Pelodiscus sinensis: one gene and its partner. The protein of the gene in region 1 purifies or fractionates together with the protein of each later gene. This does not show direct contact. Links are inferred from orthologs where the notes say so. Each region holds a gene or a part of one and is shown on either strand. Other genes may lie near its edges.

What was found. Proteins that work in one complex are often made in the same cells at the same time.
Region 2: the proteins of SWSAP1 (region 1) and SPIDR purify together in Homo sapiens (co-immunoprecipitation; 3 studies listed by BioGRID and IntAct, with this or other methods). This does not show direct contact. The link is inferred for Pelodiscus sinensis from reciprocal best matches to the Homo sapiens genes SWSAP1 and SPIDR.

What each region holds. Positions count from the first base shown.
Region 1 is NC_134729.1:12,541,464-12,548,352, forward strand, and holds SWSAP1 (ATPase SWSAP1), read left to right. Parts: upstream 1-4,615; 5' UTR 4,616-4,672; coding exon 4,673-4,873; intron 4,874-5,629; coding exon 5,630-6,169; 3' UTR 6,170-6,380; downstream 6,381-6,889. UniProt on the Homo sapiens protein: ATPase which is preferentially stimulated by single-stranded DNA and is involved in homologous recombination repair (HRR). Has a DNA-binding activity which is independent of its ATPase activity.
Region 2 is NC_134712.1:70,338,153-70,345,942, forward strand, and holds the start of SPIDR (DNA repair-scaffolding protein), read right to left. Parts: upstream 3,015-7,790; 5' UTR 2,873-3,014; coding exon 2,858-2,872; intron 1-2,857. UniProt on the Homo sapiens protein: Plays a role in DNA double-strand break (DBS) repair via homologous recombination (HR).

The sequences.
Region 1 (6,889 bases):
TGTCCTGGTTCAAACAGGAGTTCTCGCAGGCCTGTGGTCTCCAAAGGTCAGATTAGGTGAGCTCAGAGGTTCAGTCTGCCAGGGGTCCAGGCATCTACCAGTCTAGGCAAACCACAGGCTTGGCCGGAGCCACAAACCCAGGATGGCTACAATAATCTGTTCTGACGCCCAGGTCAGTGGCCAGGGAGGATGAGTGGCCAGAGCTCCCGGTCTGGGGGTGGCTGTCAGAGGCTGGGACTTGACTCCTGACCTGATGCAAACGGATCCCAGAGCCCGTCGGTTGTAGGTAAATAAGGGCAGGGAAGGGAACCGTTCTCGGTTCTCTGCTGGCAGGTGGGGGGGCTGGTTAGATACGTCCCTTCCGAGGACCATGTGTCATCCCCCATCTCTGCTCCGAGTGGGTCTGACAACCCCACCAGCACATGGGGATTCGGAGCCTGCTGGGAGGGGCCTCCAGGAGAGCAGCTGGCTCCTCCTGGCCCGGGAAGAGGGTCAAAGCCCCAGATCTGGAAGTGCCATGGGGGTTGAGGGTAGGATCCGGTCTCTGGGCTTCTGCAGTGGAGTGGAGGCAGGCAGGGAGCCTGCCTGAATCTTTGCGCAAAGGGCAGAGCTGGCGCTTTTGGGAGCTCTACTCCAGCAGGGTCCTGGCCCGTCCCCCAGCGGAACCGTTCAGCCTACAGAGCAGGCTTGGAAAAGGCTCCAGCGCCCCCCGCAGTCCATCACCCCCAGCTCTAGAGCATGCCTACTCCAGAGCCCCGCCATTCCAGAACCTCCTTCTCCAGAATCACCCTCCACTGAAAACCCCGATCTCACAGCTCCACCGTCACACCAGCCCAGTCCCCTGCACTGGGAAGTTCCCCATTCTAGAACCCACTCCGAGACCTACCCAACTCTAAAACCGCCATGTTCTGGAGCCCCCCGTGCCAGAACCCCAAACCTCATGCACACCCTTCCCACCACCCCAAACGTAACCCATCTCTAAAACCACTGACGCCAGAACTCACTGCTCTAAAACCCCCAGCTCCAGCATCATCCCATTCGAGAGCCACCCCTTGCTCCAGGACAGCCCCCTCTCACATCACACAGAGGTGATGGGCCCACGCAGGGATTGCTGGGGGAAGATCTCTGGCCTGTGACATGCAGGAGGTGCAAGGAGCTGACCACAATGGTCCCAGGACACGCACCGTCTCCTCCCAGCTCCCACTCCGCCTTTGTCACCCCCAGGCCGTGCACAGTATGTGTGTGGCAGGGAGGTTGTGATGGGGCCCAGCACACCCTGGCAAACTCAGTGCCCAGAAACACCAACGGTGGATACATTAGCAACCCAGGGACACACAGATCAGGGTGGAGGATGGGCAATGAACACCCCAGTCCCTCCCCCTCCGATAGGTACTGAAGATGCTACTCATCCACCGCCCCACCTCTGCCCCGTCACTAAAGGTTGCAGGTGGGATCGAGTCTGGGGAGACATCATCGGGGGGGGGGGGCTATTTCTGGCCTCCCCCTTAAAAATTCTCCACCCACTGGAACCCTGAAAGTTCTCAGCGTTGCCCGGCAACCAAAGCAGCAGGCGCTAGGCAACGCAGTTGCTAGGGAGTGTGTGTGTGTGAGAGAGAGAGAGAGAGAGAGGGGAGGTGATTGGCAGCTCTGACAGAGGCCTGGAAAATGGCACTTGACCAGATGAACAGCCAGCATCCTTCGGGGGGGGGGGGGGCTGCTGGGGGAGCTAAGAGCAGGGGGAGGGGGGCTCCAGTGCTGGGATGATTCACTCCCCGAGTCAGTACAGGGAGCTGGCTCCATGCTGCACCCCACTCACGACCTGCTCACCTAAGACTGGCCAGGACCCAGCTGCCAGCCGCCTGCCCATCCCAGCCTCCCTGCCAGCCCCGTGCCAGCAGCACCGGCCATCTGCAGCCAGAGGCCCTTCCCGGAGCCAGGCACCAACCAGAAATGTGCCAAAGCAGGGGACCCTGGTACAGCTGCACCCCATCCCCTGCCCAATGCACTGTACCCCCACTCTCCTGCCCCTAATCAGCCCAACTATAGTACTTTATTTCCCACTTCTCTGCCCCGAAAACAGCTCTCCAGCTCTCCCATTCCAACTCACGCACACGCCACACACACCCCCAGTTCGGGTGCTGATGCAGTAGGCCCTGGCTGTCCATTAACAATGGATTCCCAGACATTCACAGCAGAGACAGGGAGAGATGAGAGTTAAAAGCCCTCCCCTCCGAACGTGACAGAGCTCCAGCAAAGCTGGCTAGGGAAACCAGAGGGCAAGCCCCTGTGCCCACCAGTCCATGGGATGGGGTCAGATCTGGTGTCCCCCTAGAGCAGGGGTTCCCAACCTTTTTCGGTCCCCATATCCCCTTGGCTTTTAGGAAATATGAAAGGAAATAAATTCTAGACTCTAGAATCCACAACGTTTTTCACTAACACGACTACTATTGGAATATTTCAAATAGGATAACCTAGTTATTTACCAAATATTCCCCATACCCCCTTGACAAGCTTCTCGTACCCCCTGGGGGTATGCCTACCCCAGGTTGGGAACCCCTGCCCTAGAGCGAAAGGCTCATGCTGCCTCTAGAGCAGTCCAAGTTGGGGCAGGTTGGGGGGGGTGTTGGGGTACCAAAGCCCCCTTGGTAGCCCCCCATGCTCAGTGAGGCATATTCCCATGGCAGACTCTTTATGTACCCCATCTAGGTGCATGTCTGTGTCCATGTGAGGTGGGTTGCGTCCTGAATCCATTACTCTGCGGGTAGGGGTGTGTAGTATTTTATACCCAACAGTCCCCAGGCTGGGCATCTGAGCATGTGTGGGGAGGGGAGATCAGGGACCCCCAGTCTACGGTCAGAGCCACTTCACTCTGCTCTCCAGCATCTGGCCTGGGAAATCACACTGACTCCTGATCCTCCTGACACATGGACACACACGCACAGGCACTCTGTGCCTTAGCTGGTAATTAACAACTGAGATGCCCTGAGCTGTGATCGCAGCCTAATCTCATTAATTGGATCCCCCCTTAAAATCTGTGGGGAGGGAGGGAAGGGGGCATGGGATCCACCCCAGGATTCAGGGTGGCTTCCTTTTGACCCCTTGCTGCTCAGAGATCCCACTCTGCCCCCCAGCTATGGACATGGGACGAGCTTCCTTTATATTTCACCCCAGGCTGGGCTGCACCTGCTCTCATGTAGCCCCAGGTGGTAACGCTAGGACACCAGGGGGCTCTTTAGGCATCACAGCCAGTGTCCACTCTCTGGGGTTGCCCTAGATTTTCCTCCCCTCCCCAATTCTACTGCAAATTAACTCCTGCCAGCCTGGCCCTCCTCCCTACCCCCCCAGAGCTGGCCCCTCTCCCTTCCTCCCTAGCAGGCGACAGATGGCGAGAGGCTTGCAGATGCCCCACAGAGCCAGGGACAGATGGAAACACCAGCCGGCTCAAAACGCCACCGTTTAGTGACTGCTAAATGTTTGAATTAATCCCCCTCCAAGTCCCCCATGGCCTTCGATTGCCTTTGGGGCCCATAGCCAGCGATCCCCCAGGGACTCCATGTCACAGTGAACTATGTTTTTCTGACGCCTTTCCTAGGAGGCTATGGGTCAGCACTGAGGAGGTCTGTGGCTGGAGCTGTGGAGGGAGGAGAGTGGGATAACAGGGGGACAGGCTGAGATTAAGGGGGTTGGCAGAGGTGGAAGGGGTAGGGGCCAGGGCTGGGACCACAGAAGAGCTGATGATCCGGGTGTGCGGAGCATTGACCCAGCATGGGGGGAGCCGCTGGGAGAGCAGGGGGCGTGGGTCAAGATCCAGGGGCGTCAGTAGAGCTCTGGGGAGCGGGGCAGCTCAGGGTCGGGGATCCAGGGGCATCTCTGGGATAGCAGGGGCTGCAGGTCAGGATCCAGGGGCACTGACTGAACTGTGGGGCGGGGGGAGCTGGGGATGCAGGGGCCACCGATGTGCAGCCAGGCTTTGCATGGATGCCCCTCTCCACTCCCCCATCAGTGCACGTCAGCTGGCTCCCGTGCACAGGGCAGGGCTGGAGGCGGGGACCGGACTCCTGGGTCCTATAGCGGGGCCAGATGGGGGGGCGCACCCCTGGGTCCTATCCCCGGTGGGGGGGCGGGGCCCGGACTCCTGGGTCCTATCCCCGGTGGGGGGGGGGAATTCTCAGAGCAGGGGGCGGGGCGGGCCCTATTCGGGAGGGGAGGGGCGGGGCTGTGACCCCGGCACGTGGGGAGATGCGAAGGCGCAGAGCCCGCGTTCCGAACTAGAACGGAGGGGGCGGGGTCCGTCGCGCGCCGCTCCCGGATTGGTGAGGCGTGGGCTGATGGGCGCGGCTCCCGGGCTGCGTTCCCTAGGGAGGGGGCGGGGCTCTTAGGGAGGAGCGCCGATTGGCTCCGGGGAGGGCGCGGCCCAAGATGGCCGCCTCAATTGAGTGGCTAGTTCAGGGAGTGGGCGGGCCTTCCTCCCGCACGGGCTGGAAGGTAAGAAAAAGAGGAGCCAGGGGAAGCCGCTCCAGGATTGGCTAGGACCCTGAGTGGGCGGGCCTTATTCCGGATTGGCTGGAAGTTGCCAGGGGCGCGGCTGTACCTGATGCGCCCATTGGCTGTCACCCGGGCGCGGGGCGGGGCGTCCTTGCGGATTGGCTCGGACAGAGGCGAGGGCGGGGCGATGTCGGTGGCGCTCGAGCGGGCGCTCGGCGCGGCTCCGCGCGGCCTGGCCCCGGCCCCGGCCCTGGTGCTGGGCCCGGCCCGCTCGGGTCGCTCGGCGCTGCTCTTCCGGGCGGCGCTGGCCGGGCCCCGCGCGCTCTTCCTGGCGCCCCGCGCGCTGCAGCGTCTGCCGGGGGCCCGGCGCGCGGAGAGCGGCCTGCAGGTGGGGGCGGAGCCAAGCGCTAGGGGGCGGAGCCAAGAGCGGGGGGCGGAGCCAACGAGAGGCGCCTGAGGGGCGTGGCTAAGATGGGCGGGACGGAACCAAGGGCCTGGGAGGGGCGGGGCCAAGAGCCGGGGGCGGGGCCAAGATCACAAGGGGGCAAAGCCTGGGGCGGGGCCCGGATTTATCTCCTGGGGAGGCTGAATGGGGGGAGCTGAAGGCAGCAGCACCTGATAGGATGGAGCAAAGCAATTCAGAGTGGGAGCCTAAGGGGCGGGGCTTCACGGGAGGGGAGGAGCCTAAGGGGCGGGGCTTCACGGGAGGGGAGGAGCTTGAGGAGTAGGAAGAGTCAGCCAGGGAGGGGCTGTGTGGAGGTGGTGCTGACATGAGACGGGCTGGGCCTGGCTGGATGTTTGGGATGGGTTGCTGGGTGGGGGAAGGGAGAGGCCAGTGGGGAGGCAGGAGGCCTGGGCTGTGGTTGGCCTGGTGATGGGGGATCCTGGGCTGAAGCAGGCTAGACTGTGCGGGAACAGCGTTCCCTCTGAACTGGGTGCTTGTGTGGCTGCTGGGGAGATTTAAACGCCACCCAGCTGGTTAGCCCCCCCGTTAGGTTTTTTGTTTCTGCGGGTGGTGCACCTAAACAATTTATTTCACACATGGATGGAAAAGATTAGAGGGCAAATTGGTGTGGAGGGAGGGGATCCTGGGCTGGGACAGACCCAATCCCTCTTCCATTAGCCCCCTCCTCTTCCACCATAGCATGTCCAGTTCCTCTACCCGCCTTCGCTGCCGGAGCTCCTGCGGGTGTTGGCCTCTCTGCACCAGAGCCTGCCTGGGCCCCCTGCCCTCATCCTGCTGGACGGGCTGGAGCAGTACCTCGCCGGTTGCCCTGGCCCTCAGGCGGTCGCCCGGCTCTCAGCCCTGCTGGTGGACACAGCTTCATACTTCACGGGGCGCCTGGGCATGGACCCCCAAGGATCTGCCCCCAGCTGCCAGCTCATCGCCTCCATGCGGGTCTCCGGGGAAACAGAGGCTGAGGAGCATCTCAGCATTCTCCAGCGCTACTTCCCAGCCAGGTGCTGGCTGTGTCCGGACCCTGCGGCAGCCTTGGGCCAGGAGGACTGGGCGGGTGACAGGACATTCAAGGCGCATCTGTCCCAGCCTGGTGCTCCGGACCGAGAGTGGAGGGTGGGATTTGGCCTCGATGGAGAGATGACAGTATCCCCCGTCTCCTGTGAGTGTGCGGAGGATTCTGGGGCAGCTTCAGACCTGGACAGAGCTGCTGGGGCTGAGAAATGACTCCTGGGTGCCTGGCCCCCAGCATTCACTGGAGAGCTGACTTCTTGTTTCCCCAGCATGGATTTTTCAGCCCTGTTGTTGATTGAACCTTGGGTGATTTAGGGGAAAATCTGTCTTTGCACAGCCCCTCCTGGGCCTACTTTAATGTCCCACCCGCAGTAAACAGACACGGAGGAATTTTCAACAATACAAATTTGTTTGTTACCGGTCAGATCACGGAACAGCTGAGATGGCCCCCCTCCCCCCCCTCGTCACCCTGGGGGCTGCGCAAACAAAAAATACACAGCCTGTGCCCTGAATCAAACTTATTTTCCCAGGTTTTGGCTCTCCAAGGAAGTGGGGGGAACCTGACCAGTTAGCTGCACCCAGCTCTGAGGGGGAGCCCATCTGTTCCCATGGCTAGGAGTGGAGGAGACTGGGTTTCTGTCTGATCTCGTGACAATCACTTCCTCTGCTCCGACCATTAGACCCCACTCTCCATCCAGAGCCATAAATGGAACCAGGCTCCCAGCCTCTCCTTCCCCTGTTCTAACTCCCTGGACCCCGCCCCGCCTCCAGAGGCAGCTCTTGCAGCTGGCCCCGAGCTGGGGGGCTGTCAGGAGGACAATGGAGCCATGAATCAGGCCCAGCTGACCACATGCTGGTGCCCTCCCACCTGAGCTGCAGCAGCCTTTAGCTGCCTCCTCTGGCTCTCCGGTCCTGAGCCGCTCCCCCTGCCGA
Region 2 (7,790 bases), on another chromosome or scaffold:
GATACTTGTAGATGTACAGATGTGTGGTCACTACCATTGGTCTTTATGTTTTCTAGAGCAGTGATTCTCAAACTTTTTGGCCCGTGGTCCACCCCATGCACAAGACAAACCTTTCTGTGGACCACCAATTACTAATGGAAACTCGCCATTAAATTACACCTGAGCCATTTTGCTAGTGCTGCAGCTAGGGAGAATGGTTTAATTTAACCAGTAAGAAAGGGAGTATTAATCGAAATTATTGAACAGATTAAATGCTTTAAGTTTCTAATGTTTAGTTTACCAAATTTCATTTTAAATAACACAAAAGGTTTCAACATTGTCTTTATTTATGGCAGGGAACCTTTTTGGGGTCAGGTGCCACTGACCCACAGGAAAAAAAAAATCAGTCAGGGACCACAAGTGAAAAGCAAAAAACAAAAACAAAAAACCCCCACAATCTCCAACACCCACTGATGTGTCCCCCAAGTGAGACACCTCACTCTCCTGACATTTCAGTCCCTCAGGGGGCTGAGGAGGAGGGAAGACAGAAAAGAATGAGGTTCAAGGCTTCCCATAGACCAGTTTACCTTTTCTTTGGTGTTCTGAGGTTGGTGGATTTTGTGGACCTCCCTCTCCCAAGGCTCTGGGGTGGGACCACAAATGAGGGGTTCAGTGTGCGGGACAGGGCAGCCAGCAAATAGAATAGGAATGGAGGTGTGAGATGTGGGTGGGGTGAGGATGCAAGGTCTGGGGTGGAGGTAGGGTACAGGAGCAAGCTGTGAGTAGGATTTCTGACCAGGAAGAGGGGGCAGAAGGAAGGGTACGTGCAGAGCCTGACCAGGAGGAAGGGTGCAGGAGTAGCGCGGGGGAGTGCATGAGGATAATGGAGATGCCCCTACTGGATGTGAGGGGAAGGAGAGCACTTAATCAGCCTTTGAATCCCCTTTCCCCGCACTCCCAGCTGCAGTCTCCCGCTTCTCCCATTAGCCAGATTCTAGCCAATGGGAGCAGAGAAGAAAGCCTCTAAGACAGCATGTCCCTGCACTGGTGTTTCCCCAGCTGTGGGAGGGGGAGCACGCAGAGGCACTTCAAGCTCTGCTTCTTCCCTATGAACCAGATCCGATGGGGAGGCTGGGGCTGTCTCCCTTCTCCCAGCAGGAAGCTGGCACTCCAACTTTGGGGGTGCCGGTGCAAGGCTGAATCGCCAGGGCAGACTCCCCACTGCAGTGGAGGTTAAGTTCAAACTACAGCCCACCTCAAAGCAGCCATAGACCACCAGTGGTCTGCTGACTGTGTAGAGGCTCTAAATCTGAAGCAGGTAGCAGATACTGTTGCCAGCAGAGTTGAACTCAAAGCGGTATAATACAGTGTTTCTAAATTCACTTTAAATAAAATTTTAGGCTACATTACTGACCTCCTTCTTGAATTGTTGCAGAAATCTCAGTAGAAATCATACCAGTGCCAATACAGACAAAAACTAGGGCTACCCAATATTACCTTGTTAATGCTTCCAAAAATTGCACTAGCCCTCTTAGGCTATATCTTGACTGCAAAGAAAAGTTGGAAAAAGATATGCAAATTGTGACTCACAATGTGTGTATCTTTTTCCGCTTTTCTTTCAGAAGAGGCTTTTCCAAAATTTGGCCTGTCCATACGGAGCCAAATTTTGGAAAAATCTCCTCTTTCAACACATCCCTTCTTCCTCATATAATGAGGATTACAGGGATGGTGAAAGAATGCAACCGCTTTTTTGGAAATTGTTCAAAAAAAAAAAGAAGCAGACGCGTTCCTCGGATGCGGCATAGCTTTTCTAGGATACGGTATCCCGGAAAAGCTATGCAGTGTAGAGTGTAGACATAGCCTTATCCACAACCAAAGAAAATGTCAAGAACTATACTAAAATTTCAGAACAGAAACCTACAGCTGGGTAAATCTTTTTGCATGTTTTTTGCTTCTTCATGAATGAAAAAGAAGAAAATCTAATTGGCTGGTTAATGAGCACTGCAGTTTTATAGACCCAAACTTGGGAACTATCAACGTACACACAGCCGGACAGGGAAATGTTACAATACTTATTTATTATAATGGGGGGAAATCTTTAACCTGAGCACCTACATAGGGTGAAAGGAGAGGAAGAGGCAGCCTGCTATTTGGAAGCAATTGTGCACAAAACATATAGTTGCAAGCTGAAAAGAACATAAAGTTGAACTATCATTTTCACACAAAATGCTGTTATTCTTTGGCTATACCAAAGACGTTTGCAGCATATTGAGATAACTGGTCGGGGTTTTTTTTTTATAGGATTTGCCAATTTTGTAAGCACTTGTGCATGAACTTTTAAGCCTATCCTTAGGCACCATCTGAAGATAAAGTTAAAGTTAACCATGTGCATGTTTGGACAAGTCCTCGGATAGTGATAATGCCATGCACAGAACTCAGGGGGCCAGGGCTCCAAGCTTTCTTGCAAGACCCCTCTACAAGTTACCAGAGGTTAAACAGCAAGCGTGGGCTCTGCAAGCGCTTAAGAGAGGCCACAGTAGGGTTCACTTGTGTCCGTTAAAGATAAATACGCTGCAATCCCCGCAGCATAGTGGCAATGGCCAGCTCTTACGTTGCCTGCCGCTTTCCGGCTAGAGAGCGGAACGCACTTCCCAAGGGACAGCAGCACCCCGGGAAGCGAGGGGCACACCCGTGGTGGGGGGCAGGCCGAGCCGCCCGGGCAATGTCGCTCCCCCGGTACATTTCGCAGGTGTCTCTCACCGGCGCCCCCTGCGCCGAGGCTCCCACGCTGCGCTCGGCGCTGCACAACTGACGCCCGCGCGGCTGACTCCGCCCCCGCCCTCCTCCACCGGGCCCCGCGCCGCTCACGCGCCGGTACCTTCCTACTGGCCATCGCCCCCTGTGCTGCCACAGCCGCTCCCTTGCCACGTGACAGAGATGCCCGGGGGGGGGGGGGGGGAGCGCACTGACTCCAGTTCCCCGTTTCTCGGGCGGGGTCTGCACCCTTCCTGCCACGCCCCCTCCTTTCCAGTTTGGCGCCCGCGGCACAGCAGCTTCTGATTGGCTAGGCGTGCGGGAATACGCGTGACGTGGCGCGGGGGGGACATTCGTTTATCGTATTCCGCAGAGCAAGTCCGCTGTGGAACTTGTGCGTCCGCTCCCCCTTAGTATGCGCACGCGCAGGATGGGTGCGTGAGAGTTGGCGAAGGGCTGGGATCTGCTCGCCTTTGCGGAGCTGGGAGCCTGGGGAGGGGCAGAGGCGTGAGGAGGGCGGCAGAGGGCGCCTGTACCTGTCTCGCGCACTTCTCAGCCCTTGTGCCTGCTGCCCCCTAGAGGCCGCGCGTGGGACTGGGTCCAGCTGGTCACTGGGCCTTTCAAGGGCTTGGTGACAGCAGGATGGGCAATAATTTTTTTTACCTGGCCCACTTCAGACATTTTTTAAGTAGCCCCAGGCCACATGGGAAGGGTCGGGGCCCGGATATGTCCCTGCTTCCCCAGCCACAGACCATGAGAGAGTTCTGCTCCCTTCCCTCCTCCCCAACCTCAGGCCAAGCAAGGGCTTGGGGGAGCACAGGAAGTCTGCTCCTGCCCTGCCAGAAGCCCGTGGTGCTTCCAGCCACCATGCACGCCTTGCAGGGTGGGGGCAGGGTACAGGAAACTTTGCCTGCTTCCCTTATCCCTAGGCCCTGATTGATGGGGCAGGGGCAGCGCACAAAGTCTCCTCCTACCCTGCCTGGAGCACATGGCACTTTTAAGTATCACACGCTCCTTGCAGGGCAGAGGAAATTTCCTGTGCTCCCCCTGCCCCTAGGCTATAATTGGCTTGGGGGCAGAGGAGTGGCAGGGCCACCGCAGGCTGGATCAACCTGCTTGGTGGGCCATATTTAGCCCGCGGAGGCCCTTTTGTCCACCCCTGAGTTACACAATCTACTGGGCAGCTCAGTTCATTGCTACCTTGCAGTCACCCTCTTCCCTGTGTAGCAGGCAGGCTGCTGTGTAGGGCTGTGACAGCTGCCACAAGATCACCTGGCTCTCTGTGGTTTTACGGGATCGGGGTAAGGATCATCTGTTTTCAAACCAGGTTTTTGTAAAAGGAAGTGGTTCTAGGATTGTAATGGAAGGTATCCATGTGCTCTCACCCGACACATGATAGTAACATTGCATGTCCCATGAGAGATAATTTAAATGCTTGTAACTTGCTCATTAATTACATGCCATAAGAACGGCCATACTGGCTCAGACCAAAGGTCCAGCTAGCCCAGTAGCCTGTCTGCTGACAGTGGCCAGCAGCAGGTGCCCCACAGAGGGTGGACCGAAGACAATGATCAAGTGATTTGTCTCCTGCCATCCTTCTCCAGCCTCTGACAAACAGAGGCCAGGGACACCATTTCTATCCCCTGGCTAATAGCCTTTTATGGACCTAACCTTCATGAAATTATCTAGCTTCCCTTTAAACTCTATTATAGTCCTAGCCTTCAAGCCTCCTATGGCAAGGAGTTCCACAGGTTGACTATATGCTGTGTGAAGAACTTTCTTTTATTAGTTTTAAACCTGCTACCCATTAACTTCATTTTGGTGTCCTCTAGTTCTTCTATTATGGGAACTAATAAATAACTTTTCTTTATTTGCCCTCTCCACACCACTCATGATTTCATATACTTCTATCATATCCCCCCTCAGTCTCCTCTTTTCTAAACTGAAAAGTCCCAAATGCATATCACATGTCAAATTATAAACATAAGCTGAGATCATGATAATAATGTTTTCAGGGATATATGGAAAGTGGCCAAACCAGTTCCTCAGAAATCAAGTGGTAGGTAGCTGATGCCTCAGCCACAGTTGAATAAGGCTGAAGGTCACTATTCATAAAAGTTGCTATTCTTTGACAGGAAAAGTGGCAGTGATCAAACAAAAATATACATCTTAGAAAGAAATAGCATAGAGTTCTCATCCACAGTGATTCTCTGTGCTCCCCGTTGGCAATGCTTTTCAGATGAAAGGATGGAACTATAAAAATCAGGGACAGACTTTCCAACAAACTGCGGATGTAAAGGGGTAACATGCCAGCATACCTTATTGGCATGCTTACCAAGGTAATCAGTTAACCCAGTGGTTCTTAAACATTTTAAGACCAAGAAACACCAAACAATTTTTTTTAATGGGGCACACCATGGATTTTGTATTGATGAAAAAAACGTCAGGGGGAGAAAGAGTTGGGGGGGAAGTTATTGAGAAAAAAAGGTCACCTGCCCCTTTGAGGGTGGCCATTTTTAATTCTGTTGTTCTCCATGGCACATCTCCGACTGCCTCGCGGCACACTGGTATGCTGTGGAACGCAGTTTAAGAAACACTGAGTTAACCAGTGCTGCAGGTATGCCTACTGCACCTTACTGCAGCTGGTGGGCCCTGCCCGACAAAAGCAGCCCTCTGCCCATGGCATGCTATAGTTGGGGGGTTGCTCCAGCAACCCACCACTCTCAGTGCACCATAATAAGCTGGTTAACCAGTTAATATTTTCAAAAGGATTTTACATCCATAAAAGAAGCTCCTCTCACTGCACCTGAATGGACAAAAGAAACAGCCACTGGACTGGAAGAGGGGCACTGACCTAAGAAGTTTGGTCATTAAGTCTGCTGAAAGAATTTGATGAGAAAACTTTACTTTCAATTTAACATAGATAGTTAAGTTAGGCACCTGTTGTGTTTTAGCTTTATTATCCTTGTATAATTATTATATCTGATTTTATGCCTCATTACTTACACTTAAAATCTATATATGTGTAGTTAATAAAACTGTGTGTTTAAATTGAAGTGTCTGGGAGATGGCAAGTTGTATGCATTATTATTCCTTTTAAAGGCCTGATAGACAATATAACTTGTATTGTCCAGGAAATCACAGGACACTACAATAACTGCTGATTAGTCTGACTTGGATCCTATTAAAATTAAACAGAATTGTGACCTGTCTCAAATCCATTTCTCAGTGCAAAAGTGTCCATGTGATCTCAGAGCAACCATTGTCTTAACAAGAACTAATTTGTTGACAGTCTCTGCAAGGAAGCCAAGAATTAAGAAAAGTCATGCCAAATGCATTGTCTAACTCTTGGAGTGATCCCACATTAGGATAAGATTTACTAATAGGATACTATGGGGAATGCTACTACCAGAACTGTGTTTCCTGTAGGTTACATCTAGACTGGCATGATTTTCCGGAAATGCTTTTAATGGAAAAGTTTTCCATTAAAAGCTTTTTCAGAACAGAGTGTCTAAATTGGCACAAACGCTTTTCTTACAGTAGGAAATCAGTGCTTTTGCGGAAATTCAAGCGGCCAGTGTAGACAGCTGGCAAGTTTTTCCGGAAAAGCAGCTGATTTTCCGGAAAAACTGGCCAGTCTAGACACAGCCCCTGAGACAGAGAATTTTAGTAGCAATTAAAGTATGTCTATATGGCAACTGGGGAGGCTGACTGTAGCACACGTAGGCATGCATCAAGTAGCTTTAATAATTCAAAAACAGCCATACAGGCAGTCCCCGACATACGCGGATCCGACTTATGTCGGATCCGCACTTATAAACAGGGCTTTTCTCGCCCCGGAGCTCACGGGCAGCGGGTCGCCACCCGTGTCCTCCGGGGCGAGAAAAGCTTCTCCCGGTCTCCCTGGTCTGCTGGGGGGGGGGGGGGGGTTCAGCAAAGCCGCTGGACCCACCCAGCAGACCAGGGACACCCGAGCAAAGCCGCCGCCTGGGCGGCTTGCTCGTTTGCCCGGGAGCAAAGCCGCCCAAGTGGCGGGACCCCTGCCGCCTGGGCGGCTTTGCTCCTGTCCCCCTGGTCTGCTGGGGGGGTCCAGCAAAGCCGCTGGACCCCCCCCCCCAGCAGACCAGGGGGACAGGAGCAAAGCCGCGGAGCACGCCCGCAGCGGGACAGCCGAAGCGCCTGGGCTGTCCCGCTGCAGGCGTGCTCCAAGGCTTTGCTCTCCGTCTCCCTGGTCTGCAGGGAGACGGGGAGCAAAGCCTTGGAGCACGCCCGCAGCGGGACAGCCGCGGCGCGCCTGGACGACTGTCCCACTGCCCGCGTGCTCTGCGGCTTTGCTCCGCGTCTCCCAGATCAGCAGACCAGGGAGACGGAGCAAAGCCGTGGAGGACTTAGGCGGTCCCGCCACCCCCATCTCCCTGGTCTGCTGGGGGGGGGCGGGGTACAGCTAGTGCCCCCCCCAGCAGACCAGGCTTTTCTTGCCTACCCCTGGAGTAGAGCAGCTGGGGGCTGCCTGGTTGGTCCCGCAGCGCCGCTCTGGACCAACCCAGCAGCACCCCAGCTGCTCTGCCCCAGGCGTCCTGATTCAGCCGCTGCTGGTCAGTTTCAGCAGTGGCTGAATCAGGACATCTGGGGCAGAGCAGCTGGGGTGCTGCTGCGTTGCTCCAGTAGCACCGAGGAGCTGCGCTACTGGAGCAACCCAGCAGCACCCCAGCTGCTCTGCCCCAGGCGTCCCCAAGTCAGCCGCTGCTGAAACTGACCAGCGGCTGACTACAGGAAGCCTGAGGCAGAGTTGCTCTGCCCCAGGCTTCCTGGAATCAGCCTCTGATCAGTTTCAGCAGCAGCTGACTTGGGGACACCTGGGTTTCTTAAGTTGAATCTGTATGCAAGTCAGAACTGGCATCCAGATTCAGCCGCGGTTGAAACTGATCAGTTTCAGCAGCAGCTGACGCCAGTTCCGACTTACATACAGATTCAACTTAAGAACAAACCTACAGTCCCTATCTTGTACGTAACCCGGGGACTGCCTGTACTTGGTCAGACCAATGGTCCATCTAGCC